Linked DNA regions of Stegostoma tigrinum. The protein of the gene in region 2 purifies or fractionates together with the protein of the main gene of each other region. This does not show direct contact. Links are inferred from orthologs where the notes say so. Each region holds a gene or a part of one and is shown on either strand. Other genes may lie near its edges.

What was found.
Region 1: the proteins of snx33 (region 2) and dnm2a purify together in Homo sapiens (co-immunoprecipitation; 3 studies listed by BioGRID and IntAct, with this or other methods). This does not show direct contact. The link is inferred for Stegostoma tigrinum from reciprocal best matches to the Homo sapiens genes SNX33 and DNM2.

Annotation. Positions count from the first base shown.
Region 1 is NC_081388.1:24,862,745-24,874,391, reverse strand, and holds the start of dnm2a (dynamin-3), read right to left. Parts: upstream 4,893-11,647; 5' UTR 4,783-4,892; coding exon 4,508-4,782; intron 1-4,507. UniProt on the Homo sapiens protein: Catalyzes the hydrolysis of GTP and utilizes this energy to mediate vesicle scission at plasma membrane during endocytosis and filament remodeling at many actin structures during organization of the actin cytoskeleton.
Region 2 is NC_081389.1:25,228,736-25,240,414, reverse strand, and holds the start of snx33 (sorting nexin-33), read right to left. Parts: upstream 5,297-11,679; 5' UTR 4,946-5,296; coding exon 3,508-4,945; intron 1-3,507. UniProt on the Homo sapiens protein: Plays a role in the reorganization of the cytoskeleton, endocytosis and cellular vesicle trafficking via its interactions with membranes, WASL, DNM1 and DNM2. Acts both during interphase and at the end of mitotic cell divisions.

The DNA.
Region 1 (11,647 bases), on a different chromosome or scaffold from region 2:
CCCCTTTCCCCCGGTTTACACGTTCACCCCTCTCTCTCTCCGCCCCCCCTTTCCCCGGTTTACACGTTCCCCCTCTCTCTCTCTCCCCCCCCGTCTTTCCCCCGGTTTACACGTTCCCCCTCTCTCTCTCTTCCCCCCCCTTTCCCCCGGTTTGCACGTTCCCTCTCTCTCTCTCTCCCCCACTTTCCCCCGGTTTACACGTTCCCTCTCTGTCTCTCTCACTCCCCCCCTTTCCCCCGGTTTACACGTTCCCTCTCTCTCTCTCTCCCCCCCTTTACACGTTCCCTCTCTCTCTCTCTCTCTCCCCCCCTTTCCCCCAGTTTACACGTTCCCTCTCTCTCTCTCTCTCTCCCTTTCCCCCGGTTTCACGTTCCCTCTCTCACTCTCTCCCCCTTTCCCCCGGTTTCCACGTTCCCTCTCTCTCTCTCTCCCCCTTTCCCCCGGTTTACACGTTCCCTCTCTCTCTCTCTCTCTCCCCCCCTTCCCCCCGGTTTCACATTCCCTCTCTCCCTCTACCCCCCTTTCCCCCAGTTTACACGTTCCCTCTCTCTCTCTCTCTCCCCCCCTTTCCCCCAGTTTACACGTTCCCTCTCTCTCTCTCTCTCCCCCCCTTTCCCCCAGTTTACACGTTCCCTCTCTCTCTCTCTCTCCCTCTCCCCCCCCCTTTCCCCCAGTTTACACGTTCCCTCTCTCTCTCTCTCTCTCCCCCCCCCTTTCCCCCAGTTTACACGTTCCCTCTCTCTCTCTCTCCCCCCCCCTTTCCCCCAGTTTACACGTTCCCTCTCTCTCTCTCTCTCTCCCCCTCTCCCCCCCCTTTCCCCCAGTTTACACGTTCCCTCTCTCTCTCTCTCTCCCTCTCCCCCCCCTTTCCCCCAGTTTACACGTTCCCTCTCTCTCTCTCTCCCCCTCTCCCCCCCCCCTTTCCCCCAGTTTACACGTTCCCTCTCTCTCTCCCTCCCTCTCCCCCCCCCTTTCCCCCAGTTTACACGTTCCCTCTCTCTCTCCCTCCCTCGCCCCCCCCCCTTTCCCCCAGTTTACACGTTCCCTCTCTCTCTCTCTCTCTCTCCCCCCCCGCTTTCCCCCAGTTTACACGTTCCCTCTCTCTCTCTCTCTCCCCCCCCTTTCCCCCGGTTTACACGTTCCCCCCCCCCCCCTCTCTCTCTCTCCCCCCGCCTTTCCCCCGGTTTACACGTTCCCCCCCCCTCTCTCTCTCTCTCTCTCCCCCCCCCCTTTCCCCCGGTTTACACGTTCCCCCCCCCTCTCTCTCCCCCCCCCTTTCCCCCGGTTTACACTTTCCCCCAGTTTACACGTTCCCCCCCCTCTCTCTCTCTCTCTCTCTCTCTCCCCCCCTCTCCCCCCCCCTTTCCCCCAGTTTACACGTTCCCTCTCTCTCTCTCTCTCCCTCTCCCCCCCCCACTTTCCCCCAGTTTACACGTTCCCTCTCTCTCTCCCTCCCTCGCCCCCCCCCCTTTCCCCCAGTTTACACGTTCCCTCTCTCTCTCTCTCTCCCTCTCCCCCCCCTTTCCCCCAGTTTACACGTTCCCTCTCTCTCTCTCTCTCTCCCTCTCCCCCCCCTTTCCCCCAGTTTACACGTTCCCTCTCTCTCTCTCTCTCCCTCTCCCCCCCCTTTCCCCCAGTTTACACGTTCCCTCTCTCTCTCTCTCCCCCTCTCCCTCGCCCCCCCCTTTCCCCAGTTTACACGTTCCCTCTCTCTCTCCCTCTCCCCCCCTTTCCCCCAGTTTACACGTTCCCTCTCTCTCTCTCTCTCCCTCTCCCCCCCTTTCCCCCAGTTTACACGTTCCCTCTCTCTCTCTCTCCCCCCCCCTTTCCCCAGTTTACACGTTCCCTCTCTCTCTCTCTCCCCCCCCCTTTCCCCCAGTTTACACGTTCCCTCTCTCTCTCTCTCCCCTCTCCCCCCCTTTCCCCCAGTTTACACGTTCCCTCTCTCTCTCCCCCTCTCCCCCCCCTTTCCCCCAGTTTACACGTTCCCTCTCTCTCTCTCCCTCTCCCCCCCTTTCCCCCAGTTTACACGTTCCCTCTCTCTCTCTCCCTCTCCCCCCCTTTCCCCCAGTTTACACGTTCCCCTCTCTCTCTCTCCCTCTCCCCCCCTTTCCCCCAGTTTACACGTTCCCTCTCTCTCTCTCTCTCCCTCTCCCCCCCTTTCCCCCAGTTTACACGTTCCCTCTCTCTCTCTCTCCCCCCCCCTTTCCCCAGTTTACACGTTCCCTCTCTCTCTCTCTCCCCCCCCCCTTTCCCCAGTTTACACGTTCCCCCCTCTCTCTCTCTCCCCCCCCTTTCCCCGGTTTACACGTTCCCCCCCCTCTCTCTCTCTCCCCCCCTTTCCCCCGGTTTACACGTTCCCCCCCCTCTCTCTCTCTCCCCCCCTTTCCCCGGTTTACACGTTCCCCCCCCCCTCTCTCTCTCTCTCTCCCCCCCTTTCCCCCGGTTTACACGTTCCCCCCCTCTCTCTCTCTCTCTCCCCCTTTCCCCCGGTTTACACGTTCCCCCCCTCTCTCTCTCTCCCCCCCTTTCCCCCGGTTTACACGTCCCCCCCCTCTCTCTCTCTCCCCCCCTTTCCCCCGGTTTACACGTTCCCCCCCCCTCTCTCTCTCTCCCCCCCTTTCCCCCGGTTTACACGTTCCCCCCCCTCTCTCTCTCTCCCCCCCCTTTCCCCCGGTTTACACGTTCCCCCCCCCCCCTCTCTCCCCCCCTTTCCCCCGGTTTACACGTTCCCCCCCCCCTCTCTCTCTCTCCCCCCCTTTCCCCGGTTTACACGTTCCCCCCCTCCCTCTCTCTCTCTCTCTCTCTCCCCCCCTTTCCCCCGGTTTACACGTTCCCCCCCCTCTCTCTCTCTCTCTCCCCCCCTTTCCCCCGGTTTACACGTTCCCCCCCCTCTCTCTCTCTCTCTCTCCCCCCCTTTTCCCCGGTTTACACGTTCCCCCCCCCTCTCTCTCTCTCTCTCTCTCTCCCCCCCCCCCTTTCCCCCGGTTTACACGTTCCCCCCCTCTCTCTCCCTCTCCCCCCTTTCCCCCGGTTTACACGTTCCCCCCCCTCTCTCTCTCTCTCCCCCCTTTCCCCGGTTTACACGTTCCCCCCTCTCTCTCTCTCTCTCTCTCCCCCCCCTTTCCCCCGGTTTACACGTTCCCCCCCCCTCTCTCTCTCTCTCTCCCCCCCCTTTCCCCCGGTTTACACGTTCCCCCCCCTCTCTCTCTCTCTCTCTCCCCCCCTTTTCCCCGGTTTACACGTTCCCCCCCCCTCTCTCTCTCTCTCTCTCTCCCCCCCCCCCTTTCCCCCGGTTTACACGTTCCCCCCCCCTCTCTCTCTCTCTCTCTCTCCCCCCCCCCCTTTCCCCCGGTTTACACGTTCCCCCCCCCTCTCTCTCTCTCTCCCCCCCCCTTTCCCCGGTTTACACGTTCCCCCCCCTCTCTCTCTCTCTCCCCCCTTTCCCCCGGTTTACACGTTCCCCCCCTCTCTCTCTCTCTCCCCCTTTCCCCCGGTTTACACGTTCCCCCTCTCTCTCTCTCTCCCCCCCTTTCCCCCGGTTTACACGTTCCCCCCCCCTCTCTCTCTCTCTCTCTCCCCCCCCTTTTCCCCGGTTTACACGTTCCCCCCCCCTCTCTCTCTCCCCCCCCCTTTCCCCCGGTTTACACGTTCCCCCCCTCTCTCTCTCTCTCTCTCCCCCTTTCCCCCGGTTTACACGTTCCCCCCCTCTCTCTCTCTCTCCCCCTTTCCCCCGGTTTACACGTTCCCCCCCCCTCTCTCTCTCTCTCTCTCTCTCTCCCCCCCCCCCTTTCCCCCGGTTTACACGTTCCCCCCCCTCTCTCTCTCTCTCTCCCCCTTTCCCCCGGTTTACACGTTCCCCCCCTCTCTCTCTCTCTCCCCCTTTCCCCCGGTTTACACGTTCCCCCCCTCTCTCTCTCTCTCCCCCTTTCCCCCGGTTTACACGTTCCCCCTCTCTCTCTCTCTCCCCCCCTTTCCCCCGGTTTACACGTTCCCCCCCTCTCTCTCTCTCTCTCCCCCCCTTTCCCCGGTTTACACGTTCCCCCCCCTCTCTCTCTCCCCCCCCCTTTCCCCCGGTTTACACGTTCCCCCCCCTCTCTCTCTCTCTCTCTCTCCCCCTTTCCCCCGGTTTACACGTTCCCCCTCTCTCTCTCTCTCCCCCCCTTTCCCCCGGTTTACACGTTCCCCCCCCTCTCTCTCTCTCTCTCTCCCCCTTTCCCCCGGTTTACACGTCCCCCCCCCCTCTCTCTCTCTCTCTCTCCCCCCCTTTCCCCCGGTTTACACGTTCCCCCCCCTCTCTCTCTCTCTCTCTCTCTCCCCCCCTTTCCCCCGGTTTACACGTTCCCCCTCTCTCTCTCTCTCCCCCCCTTTCCCCCGGTTTACACGTTCCCCCTCTCTCTCTCTCCCCCCCCTTTCCCCCGGTTTACACTTTCCCCCAGTTTACACATTCCCCCTCTCTCTCCCTTTCTCCCGATTTACACATTCAGTCTCTCCCCCCCGCCCCCACCTGCCGACGAAGTTCTCCAACACCGAGCTTTTGCCGGCGCTTTGCCCTCCCACGACGGCGATCTGCGGCAGGTCGAGATTACAGCTCTGACCGATGGAGCTGAAAGCGTCCTGCAGCTTGTTAACCAGCGGGATCAGATCCTCCATCCCCCGGTTCCCCATTGCGCCGCTCGGGGACTGATTCACTCCCAGCGCCTGAGGCCTGCGCTTCCGCTCACACCCTAGGCCCGCCGGATAACCGGGCACATCCCACTCGCCAGATCTACCGCCAATCATCCGAATCTAAGCCATTCATCGCACGGCCTGCCCTTGTAATGACGCCTTTCCTGGGTGCGTCACCCATTCTGGCCCAATTAGATTGGACATTCCTCCGTCAATCACAACATCGCTCATTCTGAATGGGTGCATTGGACATCAGTCAGATGTCACCACCCATATGACCAATCATTGGCTAAGGTCCCTGTCGATCATAGTGATTCCGTCACTGATTCGCTCCCCCGCGTTCCGAAAGCTGACCCGCCTTCCTCTCCAATATAACTGCTGGATGAACACAACAGGCCACGCAGCATCTTAGGAGCAGGAAAGCTTATGTTTCGGAAGGCTCTGGGCCCGAAACGTCAGCCTTTCTGCTCCTGAGATGCTGCTCGGCCTTCTGTGTCCATCCAGCTCCACACCTTGTTATCTCGGATTCTCCAGCATTGGCAGGTCCCATTATCCCCGCCTTCCTAACCCTTCATTGGCTTCTCCTGCACGTCAGTCATCCACGGCCAGAACCGATTGGAGACCGATGAGGTCATGCTTCCACCCTCCCTTCCCTGTTGTTACTGACCAGGAAGCGAACAGACCAGGATAACAAAGTGTGGAGCTGGATGAACACCGCAGGCCAAGCAGCATCTCAGGAGCACAAAAGCTGACGTTTCGGGCTCAGACCCTCCAGACGAACTGACGAAGCTGAGTACACACCCAGATACGTAGCATTGTGCCATACAGCAGGAAAGGTGCATAAAAACAACTGGAAAATAATCCAGAAGAAAATCTGAAATTTGAAAAAAAAATTGGAAAGACCTCAGGTGTTTAGACAATACCTCTGTAGAGAGAAACACATTTAACATTTCAGTAGTATCAGAGATAATGGGAACTGCAGATGCTGGAGATTCTCTGGATAATAAAATGTGAGGCTGGATGAACACAGCAGGCCAAGCAGCATCTCAGGAGCACAAAAGCTGACGTTTCGGGCCTAGACCCTTCATCAGATTTCAGAATCCTCTCCCAATCCCCCTCTTTGATGAAGGGTCTAGGCCCGAAACGTCAGCTTTTGTGCTCCTGAGATGCTGCTTGGCCTGCTGTGTTCATCCAGCCTCACATTTTATTATCTTAACATTTCAGTAGAATTGGTTTAAGTAAAAGATACTGTAATACAGGTTTCAAGCAGGTTGGCAGCAGGAATAAAAGAGTGGGGTGATGATGGATGATCTGTGATCATTTCAAAAGAAGGAAATTTGAAATAACGAAAAAAAAGTGGAGCATTTGAAAGGAAGTGGAAATGCATCAAGAAGCATGTAAATGACATTGACAGGACACTGAAATAGATCATATGGCCCCTCAGACTTGCTCTGCTGCTTTAACACAGTCATGGTTGAACTTGTTACTGGTGCTGCCAAACTACTGCTGATGGACATTGAAATTTCCCATCCAGCGTACCTGCTGTCCTTTGCCACCCCAAGTGGTGTTCAACGAGGAGCATTGATTCATAAACAAAGACCAGGATTTGGACTGGTATGTGGTGATCAGCACGAAGTTTCATTGCCTCTGTTTGACCTGATGCCACGAGACCTCATGGAGGCCCATGTCAATATTGAGGGCTCCCAACCAATTCTCCATGTGAAATAACTGCACGGAGGCTGGCGCCCCACCACCAAAATCATCCTTTATCTCCATGCACACGCTACACAGGCTGTAGCCAGCTAGCCGAGAGTCAGTCCCCTGAACTGAGGAGATTCTCAACTCCTGATCATATTGTTCAGCCAGGGCTTTCCTGACTAGGGTAACAAAGTGTGGAGCTGGATGAACACAGCAGGCCAAGCAGCATCTTAGGAGCACAAAAGCTGACGTTTCGAGGCTCGACCCTTCATCAAAGAGGGGGATTGGGAGAGGATTCTGAAATAAATAGGGAGAAAGGGGGAGGCAGATCGAAGGTGAACAGAGGAGAAGAGGGGTGGAGAGGAGACAGACAAGTTAAAAGGGGCGGGAATGGAGCCACTAAAGGCGAGTGTAGGTGGGGAGGTAGGGAGGGGACAGGTCAATGGGGCGTCCCATTGGGTTAGTAGGTAGGTAGGTAGATAGGAGATGGAGGTGTGGCTTGAGGTAGGAGGAGGGGATAGCTGAGAGGAAGAACAGGTTAGGGAGGTGGGGACGAGCTGGGCTGGTTTTGGGATGCAGTGTTTTGGGTTCCCTAGCAGAATTTGAGTTGCTATTCCTGCAACCTTCGGGTGGCATCGTTATGGCACTGCAGGAGGCCCAGGACAGACATGTTGTCTAAGGAAGGCGAGGGGGAGTTGAAATGGTTCGTGACTGGGAGGTGCAGTTGTTTATTGCGAACCAAGCAGAGGTGCTCTGCAATGCAGTCCCCAAGCCTCCGCTTGGTTTCCCCAATGTAGAGGAAGCCACAATGGTACAGCGGATGCAGTATACCACATTGGCAGATGTGCGGGTGAACATCTGCTTAATGTGGAAAGTCATCTTGGGGCCTGGGATGGGCGTGTGGGAGGAGGAATGGGGGCAAGTGTAGCACTTCTTGCGGTTGGAGGGGAAAGTGCCAGGCGTGCTGGGGTTGGAGAGGAGTGTGGAGCGGACAAGGGAGTCCCAGAGAGAGTGGTCTTTCCAGAAAGCACATAAGGGTGGGGATGGAAAAATGTCTTTGGTGGTGGTGTCGGATTGTAGACGGCAGAAGTGTTGGGAGGATGATGCATTATGTCCGGAGGTTGGTGGGGTGGTATGTGAGGATGAGGGGGATTCTCTTTTGGCGGGTATTGCAGGGACGGGGTGTGAGGGATGAGTTACGGGAAATGCAGGAGACATGGTCGAGGGTGTTCTCGAGCACTGCCGGGGGGGGGGGGGGGGGGGAGGAGTGGGGTGCGGTGCAGTTGCAGCCCCTGAAGAAAGAAGACATCTGGAATGTATGGGAGTGGAATGCCTCATCCTGGGAGCAGATGCAGTGAAGGCGAAGGAATTGGGAACAGGGGATGGAATTTCTTCAGGAAGGTGGGTGGGAGGTGGTGTATTCCAGGTAGCTGTGGGAGTCGGTGGGCTTGAAATGGATATCTTGAAATGGTGGTTGCCTGAGATGGAGACAGGAAGGGGAGGGATGTGTTGGAGATGGTACAAGTGAACTTGAGGTTGAGGTGGAATGTGTTGGTGAAGTGGATGAACTGTTTGAGCTCCTCTTGGGAGCACGAGGCGGCGCCGATATAGTCATCAATGTAACAGAGGAAGAGATGGGGTTTAGGGCCAGTGTAGGTACGGAAGAGGGACTGTTCCACATAACCTACAAAGGGGCAGGCATAGCTTGGGCCCATGCAGGTACCCACGGCCACCCCCTTTGTCTGTAGGAAGTGGGAGGAATCGAAAGAGAAGTTGTTGGGGGTGAGGACGAGTTTGGCTAGGCGGATGAGGGTGTCAGTAGAGGGGGTCTGGTCGGGCCTGCAAGACAGGAAGAAGCGGAGTGCCTTTAGGCCATCTGCACGGGGAATGCAGGTGTATAGGGACTGGACGTCCATGGTGAAAATGAGGTGTTGGGGAACGGGGAATTGGAAGTTCTGGAGGAGGTGGAGGGAGTGGGTGGTGTCATGGACATAGGTAGGGAGTTCCTGGAACAAGGGGGAGAAAATGGAGTCCAGATAGGTGGATTCGTGTTTGGTGGGGCAGGAGCAGGCGGAGACAATGGGTCGACCAGGGCCAGCAGGTTTGTAGGTTTTGGGAAGGAGATAGAAGTGGGCGTTGCAGGGTTGGGGAACAATGAGGTTGGAGGCTGTGGGTGGGAGGTCACCTGAGGCGATGAGGTTGTGGATGGTTTGGGAGATGATGGTTTGTTGCTCGGGGTGGGGGGGGGGGGGGTCATGATCCAGGGGGCGGTAGGAGGCGGTGTCGGAGAGTTGGCGTCTGGCCTCGGCGATGTAGAGGTCAGTGCGCCATACTACCACTGCGCCTCCTTGTCTGCGGGTTTCATGGTGAGGTTGGGATTGGAGCGGAGGGCTGCACTTTCTGCAGGGGAGAGGTTGGAGTGGGTGAGAGGGGTGGAGAGGTTGACGCGATTGATGTCTCAATGGCAGTTGGAGATGAAGAGGTTGAGGGAGGGTGGTGTCCAGGAGGAGGACTTGTGTTGGAGGCAGGTGAAGGGGTCAGCAGAGGGAGGGTTAGGCTCACAGTCAGAGAAGTAAGCATGGAGGCGAAGGCGGCGGAAAAACTGCTCGGCGTCCAAACCTGACTGGTATTCGTTATGTGTGGATGGAGGGGGAACAAAGGTGAGCCCCTTGCTAAGGACTGACCATTCATCCTCAGTCAGTGGGAGGTCTGGGGGGGGGGGGGGGGGGGGGAAGGTGAAGATTCGACAGGGCTCAGTGTGGCTGTCTTCTCTGGGGTTGCTGGCTGTGGGCGGGGTTCTATCAGCAGTGGGCAGAGTGGAGTTGGCATCTGTGGTGGGCGAAGTGGCATCACCGGTGGACGGAGCGGGGTGGGCGGCAACAGTGACGGTGAGGGAGATGTTTGTGGTGTTAGTTCTGGAAGTGGAGGCGGTGGCTACAGCAGCAGTCGCGTTCGTGGTCCCGGAAGTGGTGTACGCGGCGGTGGCGGATGTGACGTTATCAGTGGGTTCTCGGTCAGTGGCCTCATGGCTAATGGCGGCTGATAGATTGTGGGGGAGGTGCAGGGTCAGGCTGGGGATTTGGGAGGTGGGAGGAATCCTGTTTAAGGTGGCAGGGACCAGTGAGTTTATTGTACTTACAGTTTTTCGTGTACAGTAAAGCTGAGTAGAACTGTGTGTTCAGTTTGTAGATCCTATGAAGGATAACAAACAGGAGAGGTCCTCCGCAGGTCTGGGAGAGGGAGGCTGAGAGCTGGGGCAGGCTGGATTGCAGTGCCTGGAGATGCCGGCACATTGCTGAGAGTATGTGTTTCAGGACTTGCAGGGAGAAATGCTTCTGAAGGGTCTCAATGTTCTGGATGTAGATGTGGTCATGGTTGGGACCAAATTGGGAATGACTGGCCCGGGTTAATAACTTCAATCAAGAACCTCAGTTATCGAGGTCCACCTGCTTTCAATCAATACACTGTGCAATGATTATTGGTTACTGTGTCATGCAGATGAGTATGAGTATGTCAGGCAGTTATTCAGCTAGTCTGTGGAACATCTCTCCCAATTTTAATACTGCGACATGGATATTAGTGAGAAGGACTTTTCAGGGGCTGTCACTCTCATTTCTGGCACCTAGGTTGATGCTGAGTGGTCACTGTGGTTTCAGACTGGCTTTCAAAATAAGATTTTTAAAAATCAAACCTCATGATCTGCCAATGTAGGATTTGAACCCATGTCCCAGACCATTAGCCTGGGGTTCTGGGTTATTAGTTTAATGACAGAAGAGGCAACAAAAACTAAAGGGCGCAATTCTAAAGTGGTGCCAAAATACATGGATCTAGAGGCGAATATGCAGATCATTGAAATGCCATCGCAGGTTGAGGAGTTTAATAAAGCAGACAAGATTTTGGGCTTTATAAATAGGGTCATGGAGTACCAGAGAAATGATGAGAAGAGTCTAAAACACACAGTTTTGATTTCACTTGCAATACGTTGTCCAGTGCTGAGCAGCACACATTTGCAAGGGTGGGCGAATACATTGGGATGATTCATGATAAAAGATTCAGGAGAACAATTCAGTAATGAGGAACTTCAGTTACATAGATACATTTGAAAAACTAGGACTGTTCTCCTTGAAGATGATGTGAAAGTTGTTCGAGGTATTCAAAATCATGAAGGATCTGAACAGAGTAAATAGGGAAGAAAAAATTTCCCAGCAGTGGACAGGACCAGAACCAGAGGGTACAGATTAGAAATGATTGGCCAAAGTAGCAATGGCCACATGAGGGGGGGTGGGGGGGGGGGGGGAAGACTTTTTTTTTTACACAGGAGGAAATTAGGAAGTAGAATATTAGGGAGGGTCAGGGTTGGGGCAGTTTCGATTCAGGCCTTCAAATGTCTTGAGACCATCATTTTCTTTTCAAATTTTTGGTTTGGATTGGAGAGTTGAGGTCAGATTTTGACCAGCAACTCATTTTGGGAAGAAAGAGAGAGAACATAATCTGATGTTTATGGGACTGGCCTGGAGAGATAAATTGCAGCTCCTGGAATGCTACAGACTTTTCAATACCAAGATGGGTTTCTCAGCGACTAGCAGCTAGTTGGATGTTGAATTGGTCAAATCAAGGGTAGAATATTGTTGGTCAGCCCTTCAGAGAGAACGCTGCGAAAAACAAAACCATAGTTTGAATGGGTTTGGTTTAGGTTAAGGTTTTAGGCAGAAGGTTGTGCACGTGCAGTATTTTGTAACAAAAGCAATTTTGAGCTTTAGTCTCTCTAGTTTGATACCCAGTTAAAGAACTGTTGAAGGCTTCAAGGAAAGAATTCCAAGTACATCTTCGGCAGTCTGCAGACACTGTTTGCATGAATTGGTGACTTTGAAATTCAAGCAAGATTATAAAACTCTACGGGACTGGAATATAAAACATTGGTCAAGAATTTCTGAAGCCCTAGTACCTACCATGAGATCATTGAATTGGCAAATTAAATTCTTTAAATTTATCCCTTATCTGTGCCTTGTCTGAGAATGTCAGTGGTCGTTAAAGAAGATTGGGCTTAGATTATTGATACTATGTAGATTGACTTATCCATGTTCTGCTAAACTTTCATCATTACAAATAACAGATACCCGATACACTGAAAGAAACAATAATTTATTAGTAAAGGCTGCTTAGAAATTGTTTGATGTTTTGATTTTACTGTACTACAAATCCAGGGATAGGGAGGCTAATTTGGTTTGGTCTGTTATCGTAGTGTAATTAGTGGCTCGATCTTGAAATCTTAGCAGGATCT
Region 2 (11,679 bases):
TTCTAGAGTGTTTTTGAAGCTGCCCTCATCCAGTCAAGCGAGGAGAATTCCATCACACTCCTGACTTGTGCCTTTGCTGGGGGATGGCTTTGAGGAGTCAGGAGGTGAGCTACTCATTGCAGGACTTCCAGCCTCTAACCCACTCTTGTAGCCAGTCTTTATATATCCGGTTCAGTCCAGTCCAGTTTCTGGTTGATACTGAGGGAATCAATAGTAGTAATGTCTTTGAATATCAAGGAATGTTTGGTTTGATTCTCTCTTGTTGGCAGATTATTTGTCACCTGTGTGGCACTTATGTTACTTGTCACTTTTCAGCCCAAGTCAGGATATACGTCCAAGTCCTGCTGCATCTGGACATGGACTGCTTCAGTATCTGAGAACATACGCGTGGTGACGATCATTGTGCAATCATCAGCGAACTTCCCCATTTCCAACCTTATGTTGGATGGAAAGTCATTGATGAAGCAGCTGAGATGGGTGGTCCAAAGACACAACCCTAACGAAGTCCTGCAGTAAATCTGGAGCTGAGTTGACTGACTTCATCACTCACAACCATCTTCCTTTCTGCTAAGACTCTATGATAATCTCCGTGGAACCAGGGGAGCAGAGCCACATCCAGCCAGACAGAATTGAAGAGATTCTGGAGGTGGATGCTATGTTTATCCTGTCAAAGGGTGCTGACAGCTCAGGTGGAATGGGGACGAACAGCTCTTCTTTGTGATGCTGATGCCATTGTCACTGCTCCATTTTTATCTGTTGAAAGTTTATCATTAAACCATTCTAACCAGTCTGTCCAGAAGTGAAAAGTGGTGATAGGCTCATTGCAAAGATGAGTCTGTGACACATATATGATAGATTATTCTCTGAGCACTCAAAAATGCAAATTCCTCAGAGGCTGAGACAAATATCACTCCCCAACTCAAACACGATACCGCTCGGCTTCTACTGAAACAATTACAGACCGTCATGATACAGAACAACTATTTCTATTGCTTGTGACTTTAGAGCTGTACACACTTAATAACATTCTGCTTTCCCAGGTACAAGTGGGTAGTCATTTACAGGGTGAGGGAATTATGTACATTTCCTGCTAAGCCTTTTCCATTAATTCAAAATCCACGAGAGGAACACCTCAGGACATCCTAAACTATTCACAGCCAGTGATGCACTTTTATAAGCTTTGTCACTGTCGTAGTGACATAGCTGCAAACTTGTGCACAGCAAACCTATCACAAACAGCAATATGAAAATCTCCAGTGTTTTTGTTTTAGTGATGTTGGTTCACATAAAGGAGAATTCCCCTGCTTTTCCCCTTATCCACTGTCTCATCAAGAAAGACAGCACTTCACCAGTGTGGCACTACCTTACTACTGGCTGGCAGCAGATGTCCCAGTGCACTGGAACAGTACCACCAACACACTCTGCATAAGATCCTGCAAATCCACAGGGAAGAAAGATCGACACTAGTCCTCAAACAGGCCAACATCCTCAGCATGAAGGCACTGGCTACCTTTGATCGGCCACACTGAGCTGGGCATGTCGTTCACAAGACCGGCATGAGACTCCCCATCAGATGCTCTACTCCTGAAACAGCAGGCACGCCCTAGGTGGACAGAGGAAGTGCTTCTGCGATAGCCTCAAGACCTCAGTGGCAAAGTGCATCATTGCCACAGACACCAGCAAATCACTGGCTCAAGACCATACAAGGTGGAGGAGAAACATCCAAGAAGTTATCATGCACACAGACTTGCCATCAGGAAAAAAATGGAAGACAGGTGAAAACAGCATGCTGCCACACCAATACTCCACCCACCCCTTCCCATGATCACCACATGCCCCATGTATATCAGAGCTCGTAACTGTCACATCAGTCCATTCAACCATCTACACACTCATCCTGACAGTGAAAGAGAGACATCCTCATCTGCAAAGGACTGCCAATGATGAGGAGTACTTGCTGAAATGCTTGTAGTCTCAGGAGTGGGGCTTGAACTCACAACATTCTGAATCAGAAGCAACATCGACCCACTGAGCCACAGATGAGCCAGTACAATGATGGTATATACCCAGGCTTGGAATGAGATGGTTTTGAACCAGCCATCTAGGCTGCCAAGGAGCATGAGCCCCTAGTCTCAGCTATATTGCCATGCAAAGTTGTGTCAGATCCACCCCTCCCTCAACCAGCTTCAAAATCTCCCCACCCCCGATCTCATCCCAAGACCAGCTCCCCCATTCTCATTGCTGCCTCCTTGACCTATCTGTCTTCTCTCCCACATAACCACTCCTTCCACCTCACTGGCCAATCCCCACCACCACTTCCTACCTATGCTCACCTTTACTAGCTTCATCCTCGCGTCCTTCACCTGTCTGTCTTCTCTCCCACCTATCCACTCCACTATTCACTTCTATCATCGTCTCCCCCACCTCTCTATTTATTTCAGAGCCCCCTTCGCCTCCCCCATTTCTGAAGAAGGGTCCCAAACCGAAGTGTCAGCTTTCCTGCTCTTCTGATGCTGCCTGGCCTGCTGTGTTCCCCCAGCTCCACACCTTGTTATCTCAGACTCCAGCATCGGCAGTTCTTACTTCATATCAGCACTGCCTGCCCGTGTCACTGGAGGACACAGACAAGAAAAAGGGTTAGAAAATACTACAAAATGGGAGAGGCTAAAGCTCAATTTAACACTCAAGACCAAATACTCCAAATTTTTCCAATATCAATTGTTAGAGAGACTTGCTTCCCTTGAAGGTGAAGGCACAAATAAATATAAATATATTATCATTTCAAACTCTGTTGAAATCCTTTTCAATATATTCTACAGTAAATCAAAACCAATTTGGATGTCTCAATGAACTAGCTTCTAAGTCACAGTCTTCATTTTGGCCAATAGATATGGAGTAACAAGTACAATGAACATAGATTGCACACATCTTAATAATCTGTGCATCTACCTGGGGACCACACAGATCCCATGTGATACACGACAACCTCCCACAGCCCAAACCTTGGCTCTGGAGCAGCAAACCCATACAGTTCCTCCTGTAAGTTCAGTCCATTAAGTCCCCTTGTTTAATGTAATGAGCTATGCAGTCCACACATAGTTTGCACAGTTCTCATAGTGTGATACACTTCTCCTTCTGTAACATACCGAGTGGTTTTCAGTGCATACAGATTCTCATGCAACACTGCTTATCTTTATGGCCTATCTGATATAATCCTAGGTTCACTCTGTACAGATATTTTGCTTGTCCACTATCAATAATATCTTTCCCTTGAGCAGGACAAGATCATCACAGATTATTAATACAATGAATGTCCTTGGACATTGAGTTGAACAAATAACAGATATACACCAACAGAGCTAGGAAGATAAAATTGAGGTTTAAAGCAGTTTATTTTCTGTACCTAGCAATTATGAATGGGCACAAACTCATTAATAGTGAGTTGTTATCATACCAAGGAGAACTTCAACATTTCAGAGATCTGCTATAATTGAGAGATGAGCTTACCTTTCTGAACATGAATGATGTCTGGGAAATTGGACAGTAGGCCTTGATACAGAGAAAGTGTGTCCAACATATGGAACAGATCATTCTTGGGCTGTTCTGCAAACAACTCTCCAATGGCTTCATATGTTTTGCCCGTGTTGGAAATGGCCTTGTTCAGAGGCACTGCAAGGTGTGGTTGATCCAATTCAAAAGCCTGACTTATTGAATTAAAAGCATTGCCTAATTTCTGAAATTCCTTCCTGAAGCCTCCAACATGTTTGCGGCAGAGGTCTGTGGCCACATTGGTCAGTTGCAGCACACTGTCATCCATCCTCTTAGAGAAGGTTTTGAACGTGTCCACCCTCTCCTCCACATCCTGAAGATCCTGATGTTCCTGTGGGATTTGGATGGTCAGGAAAGAATTGGCACCAACTAATTCATCTTTCTCCATCCGTCTTTTTCCCTGTTTCCAGGCCCGGTCGTCTGTGCAAGTCAGGAAGTGTTGAAACCCCTCGTACTGGGAAAGCACTGGATGGCTTGTCATGTGGTCCATCCACAGAATCAAACGCCTCTTGCGTTTCTCAATGAAATCATCTTCAAATCGGCCAGTGGCCTGTTTCTCTGGCAGATGTGGCACAGAGATGACAGAGAACTTGTGCAGCAGCCTATTGTGTAGCCAGTCAAAGTGTTTGTAGCGACGATAAACGGGGTTGTTGGTTTGACTAGGTGTCAACTTATAGGAGATGTAACTCTTGATGCCTTTAAACTTGGTTTGCTTCGTGGGTTCCTCAATGGTACAGGTGAAGGGATGAGGGCTCTCACTCCACTGAGGCCCATCAGGGCTCATCACTACACTATAGGTTTCTGAAGTCTTAAAGATAGCAGGCACTTCACCCAGGATGAATGCTTCCCCACCAGATCTAACAAAACTTGAGAAGCGGTTGAAGTTCTTGCCCACAGCACTGCTTTTAGTGCTGAGCCTGCTGGCAGTGCTGTCCTGCCTTTCCACTGATGGTTTTTGCCTGTACATCACATTAGGATACGGGGAGACTGTGTATGGATGGAGATGATTGTGGCCATTGGTGTTACTGGATACACCAGGTTCATCAAACACAGTGGAAGAGTCATCCCAATCATCCCAATCATCATCATCATCTTCCTCATAGCTGCCCTGTTGGTAGGAAGAGGCTGAAATGGGGGAGTAAATTGCAGAGTAATTCCCTGGTGAGTGGTGAGTGAAAGCAGAATTGGAAGTACAGGGTAAGGGTGTACTGGGTTTGAGAATTTCCACATAAGAAGCTGGAAAGAGCCCTTTGTCCCCTCGGCTGTTCTGGCCTTCCAGCCAACCATCCAAAGACTTCTCGTTAAAAACCAGCAGCTGTTCGTTCTCTTGGATGCTGATCTCCTCGGGGTTCTCACTCTGGAAGCTGTAAAGAGCTTTGGCTTTGATGGAAGCCATGGTCCAGGGATGGGGAAGAAGGGGGTGCTGTACCTCCTCGGGGATCCGGCAGCTGGAGGTGGGTGCGGATTATCGTTCCAACTCTCTCTAATGCTCGGCTTTCTCCAGCGGGGAGAAGAAAGGCGGACGGCTGGTTCGCAGCTCCTACCGACTCCTCTGCTCCCGGTACATCGTTCAGCTCGGCAATTTGTTCCTTCCGTCCAAGACCCAGCTACAAACTGTGTCCCGGGATACTGTAACCTTCCCAGCGATGGCCGCGGCCAAACTCCTCTTTGTTGTGATAAGCTCCCGTACTTTGACGCGCAGCAAAACTTTTGCAGCTTGCAAAAGGAAGTTCGCGACTGCCCTCTAGGTATTGGATCTTGCGCACTTCAAGGAAACACATCCCACTGATCCTTCAAAACTGCCGGGATCAAGCCAGGAACTGACTGCTGGGACCAAAAAAAACCCGAAAAAACTGCGCACGCTGTAACTCACAAAAAACCCAGAAATTGCTGGAAAAGCACAGCAGGTCTAGCAGCATCTGTAAAGAAAATATTAAAGTTGACGTTTCGGGTCCAGTGACCCTCCCTCAGAACTGACTGCTGGGGTTTGTTCCAGTCAACACTCCCTCCCTCCGTCCTCAGTAACTAACCAACCAATATAGGGTTTTGGTGGGTTATTTGACCATTTTAGCCGTGGCCAAATCAGAGCACAGGGACAAGAGGGAGCCAGTCAGCTCCTCAAGATTATAAACTATGATCATGGTTGATCTAATATCTGGAGGCTAACAGGGAATAGTGAAAAGAGATTCTGGAATTTGGCGCATTTTATCTTTCCAAATAACCTGCACAGATTTTATGCAAACACAGGTGTACTGGAGAGCACAGCGAGTGTTTGAGACCTTAAAATGAAACAAATAACTGCGGGTGTTGGAAATCTAAAACAAAAATATAAATTGCTGGAGAAACTTAACAAATCTAGCAGCATCTGTAACTACGTTACTCTCTCTACAGATGCTGCCAGGCCTGTAATGTTTCTCTAGCAAGATTTTTTTTCAGATTTCCAACCTCTGCCGATATTTATTTTGTTTTAACGTTTTCAAACAAAAGCAGAAATTGGAGAAACTGCTAAGATGCTTTGGCTTTATTGAAGCGATTTTAGTGCTGTATGAGCAATTACATTACCTCCATCAAATGTGCCTTATGTCATGGAACTGGTGTCCAAGTTTAGACAAAATGTGAGAATAAAACTATTCGCAGTCCCCATTTCCGGGAGAAACAAGACTTTGCGGTGAAACTAAAAACAAGCATCCCTCGCGTGAGCTTTTTACCATGCAGGGCCATCCAATCATTTCCAAGCACATTCCAAATTATTTTCATCACAAAGAATTGACTGCTTCAAACATAGTCTCACTGAAGTTCCACACTGTTAAACTTATACACATTGATGTGCAGCTATCTGAAAAAAAAAGAACTTGTGCAGTGAAAAAGAGAACCTGAAATCCAATTGTATCAGTGATAATGGGAACTGAAATCCAATTGGTTTGGTTTTCAGAAGTGTGATAAATCTGCAAGTTGTCAGTTTATAGCTTTGAACAGGTAATCGTTCTTCATTAATGGTTTTTAACTAATTTACTCATTCTAAAGAAAGCGTAAAGAAAATATTCACTTTTTTAAACAATTAAGTTCATGCAAGGAAACTGAATTGACGGCAAATAACAACTTGGATCAATCAAACTTTACATTACAGAGTGCACCTGGATTAATAGGAATCTGGAAACTTATCATTTTCATCCACTGAACTCTTGAGCTTTCATTAGTAATTAGGAGAATCTGGATGACATAAATGCCTCAAATCATTTGCAAATGGGATCAATATTTTGCCACAGGAAAAATGAAAATAACAAAATTGTGATAGATTAGAGAAAAAGTAATATGAAATGAAACAGGAAAATAGTGTTGATGCTTGAGATTTGAAATAGAAAATGCTAAAAATACACAGCAGGATAAGTATCATGTGCGGAAAGAGAAATAGGTAACATTTTTGGTCAAGATGACCTTTCATCAGAAGTATATCTCCCCACAGATGCTGCCTGACTTGCTGAGTGTTTGCAACATTTTCTGTTTTTAATGAAAACTATATATGGAATAATTCTCACAAATATAAGTGTTATAGAAAGGGAAGGGGTTTTGGGTCAATTGAACTTTCCAAATACTGGATCTTTCACTATTTCATTGTGATTTTGATGGGGGCAAATCTGGAGATCATGCAGAACCTGTTGACCTGCACTTTAGTCTTCAGTACTCAAACTTCATCAAGAATCACAGGCGACAGCAGAACATGCCACTCCAAAGTAGGTGGTGACTTTTTCAAAAAGTAAACAGATGTACTGGACTCTTGATTTCAAATCTCAGGATGCCATAGTAAACAAGATTGCGGATTTCGCAGGGAACTGACAGGATCCTGGTCAAAGCACTTTCCCCTCTCCTTATTCCTTGTGCTATAAATACACCCTCGTAGGAGTTGGACAAAATAATGGGACAAGTCTGTATTTAAACTGCAGGAGCTCAGACTTAACACAGCCTGGCCATGGGCACTAATTACAACTCTTTAATTTCACTCTAAAATGTTAGGACTTATGCTTTTCCAACCCATCCTGTCTCCATTTAATTGGATGCTGGCATTCCCAGTGACTGTTTAAATGCTTTGGAACTGTTTTTCAGATGTGTGGCTGTGGACATTTCTGGCAGAAAATAGTGAACTATATTCTCTCGACCATGAAGGAATCAAAGCCCCATCTACTGGTAGAGTGTGGCAACTCAGCAAAACCAGGAAAGTCAGCAGCGAGAGTTCCAGCGGATAAAGGGAGTGTGAGGCTAATCTCTTTCTGGAAACTGTTGGTGAGTAACAGGTAAGTTTTGTGACATCGATATCAGAGCAGAGAGCATCAGAAGCTTCAATTTAGTATTAAGAATATTTAACATTGTAAGGATTAATTAACATAAAGGAATAAGACACGGCAGGAGATCTCCAAATCACAGTCTGCTCTTCTTGCTCGATGTGGGAAGCCAGGCACACTTTCAGTGCCCGGGAGCTGCATGTGTGCAAGAAGTGTTTCCAGCTGCAGCTCCTGGAAGCCTGAATTTCCGAGTTTGAGCGAAGTCTGGGGACACTGAAGAGCATTTGCAAGACGGAGAGTGTTGTGGATTGCACGTATAGGGAGATGGTCACACTGCAAACTCAGAATCCACAGGCAGGAAGGGTTTGGATAACCAGCAGGCAGAGCAGCAAGGCTAAGCAGTCAATGCGGGAATCTCCTGTGGCTACTCCCCTGCAAAACAAATATACATTTTTGGATACTGTTGAGGGGAATAGCCTCTCGTGGATAACAGCAGCAGCCAAATTCATGGCAGGATGGTTGGCTCTGCTGCAGAGGGAGGTAGAGATAGACAGAAAAATGTTATAGTTATTGGAGATTCATTTGTAAGGGGAATAGAAGGCATTGCTGTGACTGTAAACAAGAGTCTCGGATGGTATGTTGTCTCCCTGGTGCTAAGTTAGGGTCTGGTTATCTCGAGGTAGTTGCAGGACATTCTGGAGGGGGAGGGCGAACAGCCAGTGGTTGTTACACGTTAGTACAAACGACATCAATGAAAAAAGTATGAGGTCCTAAAAGCAGAATACTGAGAACTAGGTAGAAAGTTGAAATGTAGGATCTTAAAGGTAGTTATCTCAGAATTACTACCAGTGCCACAAGCTAGTCAGAGCAGAAACAGTAGGATATATAGGATGAACACGTGGCAGGAAAGATATTGTGAGGGGGAGGGTTTTAGAGGGGGAGGGTTTCAGATTTGTGGTGAACTAGGACTGGTTCTAGTGAGGCTGGAACCTGTACAAACTGGACGGGTTACACTTGGCAGGACCAGGACTGATGTCCTTGGAGGAGATACTTGGTAGAATGGTTAGGGAGGGTTTAATGTGGCGGGGGAATGGGAACCAGAGGAGTAGGGTAGTGAGGCAGCAATTGAGGGAGAGGTAGAAACCAAGGAAAACAAAAAGAACAAGAACAGGGAGGGAAGTACTGCTGAAAAGACCAGGAGAGGTAATCTGAAATGCCTGTATTTCAATGTGAGAAATACAATAGGCAAAGTAGATGAACTTAGAGCTTTGGTTAGTACATGGAATTATGAAGTTATTGCAATTACGACGACTTGGCTGAAAGACAGACAGGACTGGCAGCTGAATGTCCCAGGTTTTAAATGTTTCAGGAGCGATAGAAGGGGAGGTAAAAGGGGTGGGCGAGTTGCGTTACTGGTAAAGGAGTATCTCACAGCTATGCAGTGAGACAATATGGGTAGAACTCAGGAATAGGAAAGGTGAACTCACAATGCTGGGGGCATACTACAGGTCTCCTAGCAGCCAGCAGGAGAAAGAGGAGAGAATACGTTGGCAGATTTTGGAAAGATGTAAGAACAGCAGCGTTGTTGTGGTGGTGATTTTAACTTCCCCTCTGGACTGGACTGGGACTCACTTTGTGCTAGGGACTTGGATTGGGCACAGTTTGTAAGGCCCATTCAGTGGGAATTCTTGACACAATATGTAAACAGTCCAACCAAGGAAAAGGTTATACTGGACTTGGTTTTGGGAAATGAGCTTGGCCGGGTAAGTGAAGTTTCAGCGGGAGAGCATTTTGGGAGTAGTGACCAAAATACAGTGAATTTTAAGATATTCATGGATGGCGATAACAAAACTGTCCTCAGGTGAAGGTGCTAAATTGGGGGAAGACAAACTACAACAATATTAGGCAAGATCTGGAAAATATTTATTGGAGGTGGCTGTTTGAGGGTAAATCTACATCAGACATGTGGGAGTATTTCAAATTGCATTTGATAAGAGTTCAGGAGTGGCATGTTCCTGTGACAATGAAGGATAGGTGTGGGAAATTACATGAACCTGGGATTACCAGGAACGTGATGACCTTCATCAGAAGGAGAAAGGAAGGAAGCATATGTAAGATCCAGGAGGATAGGAATTGATGAAGCCCTTGAAGTATATAAGGAAAGTAGGAAAGAACTTAAACATGGAATTAGAAGTGCTAAAAGGGGTCATGAAAATGAGCAAACAGGATTAAGGGGAATCCACCAAGTTGCTATTAAAAAGAAAGAGGTGTTCTTCCTTTTAATACATCTTAAAAAGTATTAAGGTAGTCAAGTCCTGATGGGATCTATCCCAGATTATTGAGGGAGGTGAGAGAGCAAATTGCCGGAGTAGTGACTAACATCTTTGTATCCTCTTTGACCATAGGTGAGATCCCAGAAGACTGAAGATTAGACAATGTTGTCCACCTGTTTAAGAAGGGTAGCAGGAAAAATCCCGGAAATTCTAGGCCAGCAAGTCTCACGCAGTGGTAGAGGAATTATTGGAAAAGATTTTCAGGGACAAGATCGATATACATTTAGAACCAAATGGATGTATTAGCGATAGACAGCATGGTTTTGTGTAGGGGAGGTCATGCCTCACTAATTTGATCAAGTTTTTTTGAGGAGGTGGTGAAGATGATTGAAGAGGGGAAAGCAATTGTTGTCTACATGATCTTCAATAAAGCGTCTGACCACGCTCAAAAGGTGAAGTCACATGGTATTGGGGTGAGTTGGCAAGACGGATATAGAACTGGCTTAGTCATGGGGGACAAAGCGTAGAAGTGGAAGGATGCTTTTTGGAATGGAGAGCTGTGACTAGTGATGTTCCACAGGGATTAGTGCTGGGACCTCTGCTGTTCGTGTTCTACATAAATGAAATGGAGGAAAACGTTACTGGTCTAATTAGTAATAGATACAAAGACTGGTGGAGTTATGGATATTGAGGAAGATTGTCAGAGGAAACAGCAGGATATGGATCAGCTGGAGGCATGGGCAGAAAAGTGGCAGATAGGGTTTAATTTGGACAAATGTGAGGTGATGCATTTTGGAATATCAAGTACAGGTGGAAATTATACAGTGAATGGCAGAACTTAGGAGTATTGATATGCAGAGGGATCTGGGTGTAAAAGTCCAAGATCGCTAAAGGTGGCAACGTAGGTAGGTAAGGTAGTAAAAAAGGCTTATGGCATGCTTGCCTTCATTGGAGGGTGCATTGAGTATAAGGATAGACAAGTTATGCTGCAGCTTTACAGAACATTTAGGTACATTACAGGTACATTTAAGGCGTCATTGGATAAGCATATGGACGCACATGGAATAGTGTAGGTTAGATGGGCTTGAGATCGATATGACAGGTCGGCACAACATCGAGGGCCGAAGGGCCTGTACTGTGCTGTAATGTTCTATGTTCTATGTAACTTTGGTTAGGCCACACTTGGAATATTACATATAGTTCTGGCCACCACACTACCAGAAGGATGTAAATGCTTTGGACAGGGTGCAGAAAAGGTTGACCAAGATGTTGCCTGGTATATGGGGGATTTTAGTTTTGAAGAAAGGTTGGATAGACTGGGGTCAGAGATAATGGGAACTGCAGATGCTGGAGAATCCAAGATAACAAAGTGTGAAGCTGGATGAACACATCCGATGAAGGGTCTAGGCCCAAAACGTCAGCTTTTGTGCTCCTGAGGTGCTGCTTGGCCTGCTGTGTTCGTCCAGCTCCACACTTTATTATCTTGGATAGACTGGGTTTGTTTTAACTGGAACACAGGAGGTTGAGGGGCAACCTAATTGAAGTTTATAAGATTGTAAATGGCATGGATAGAGTGGAAA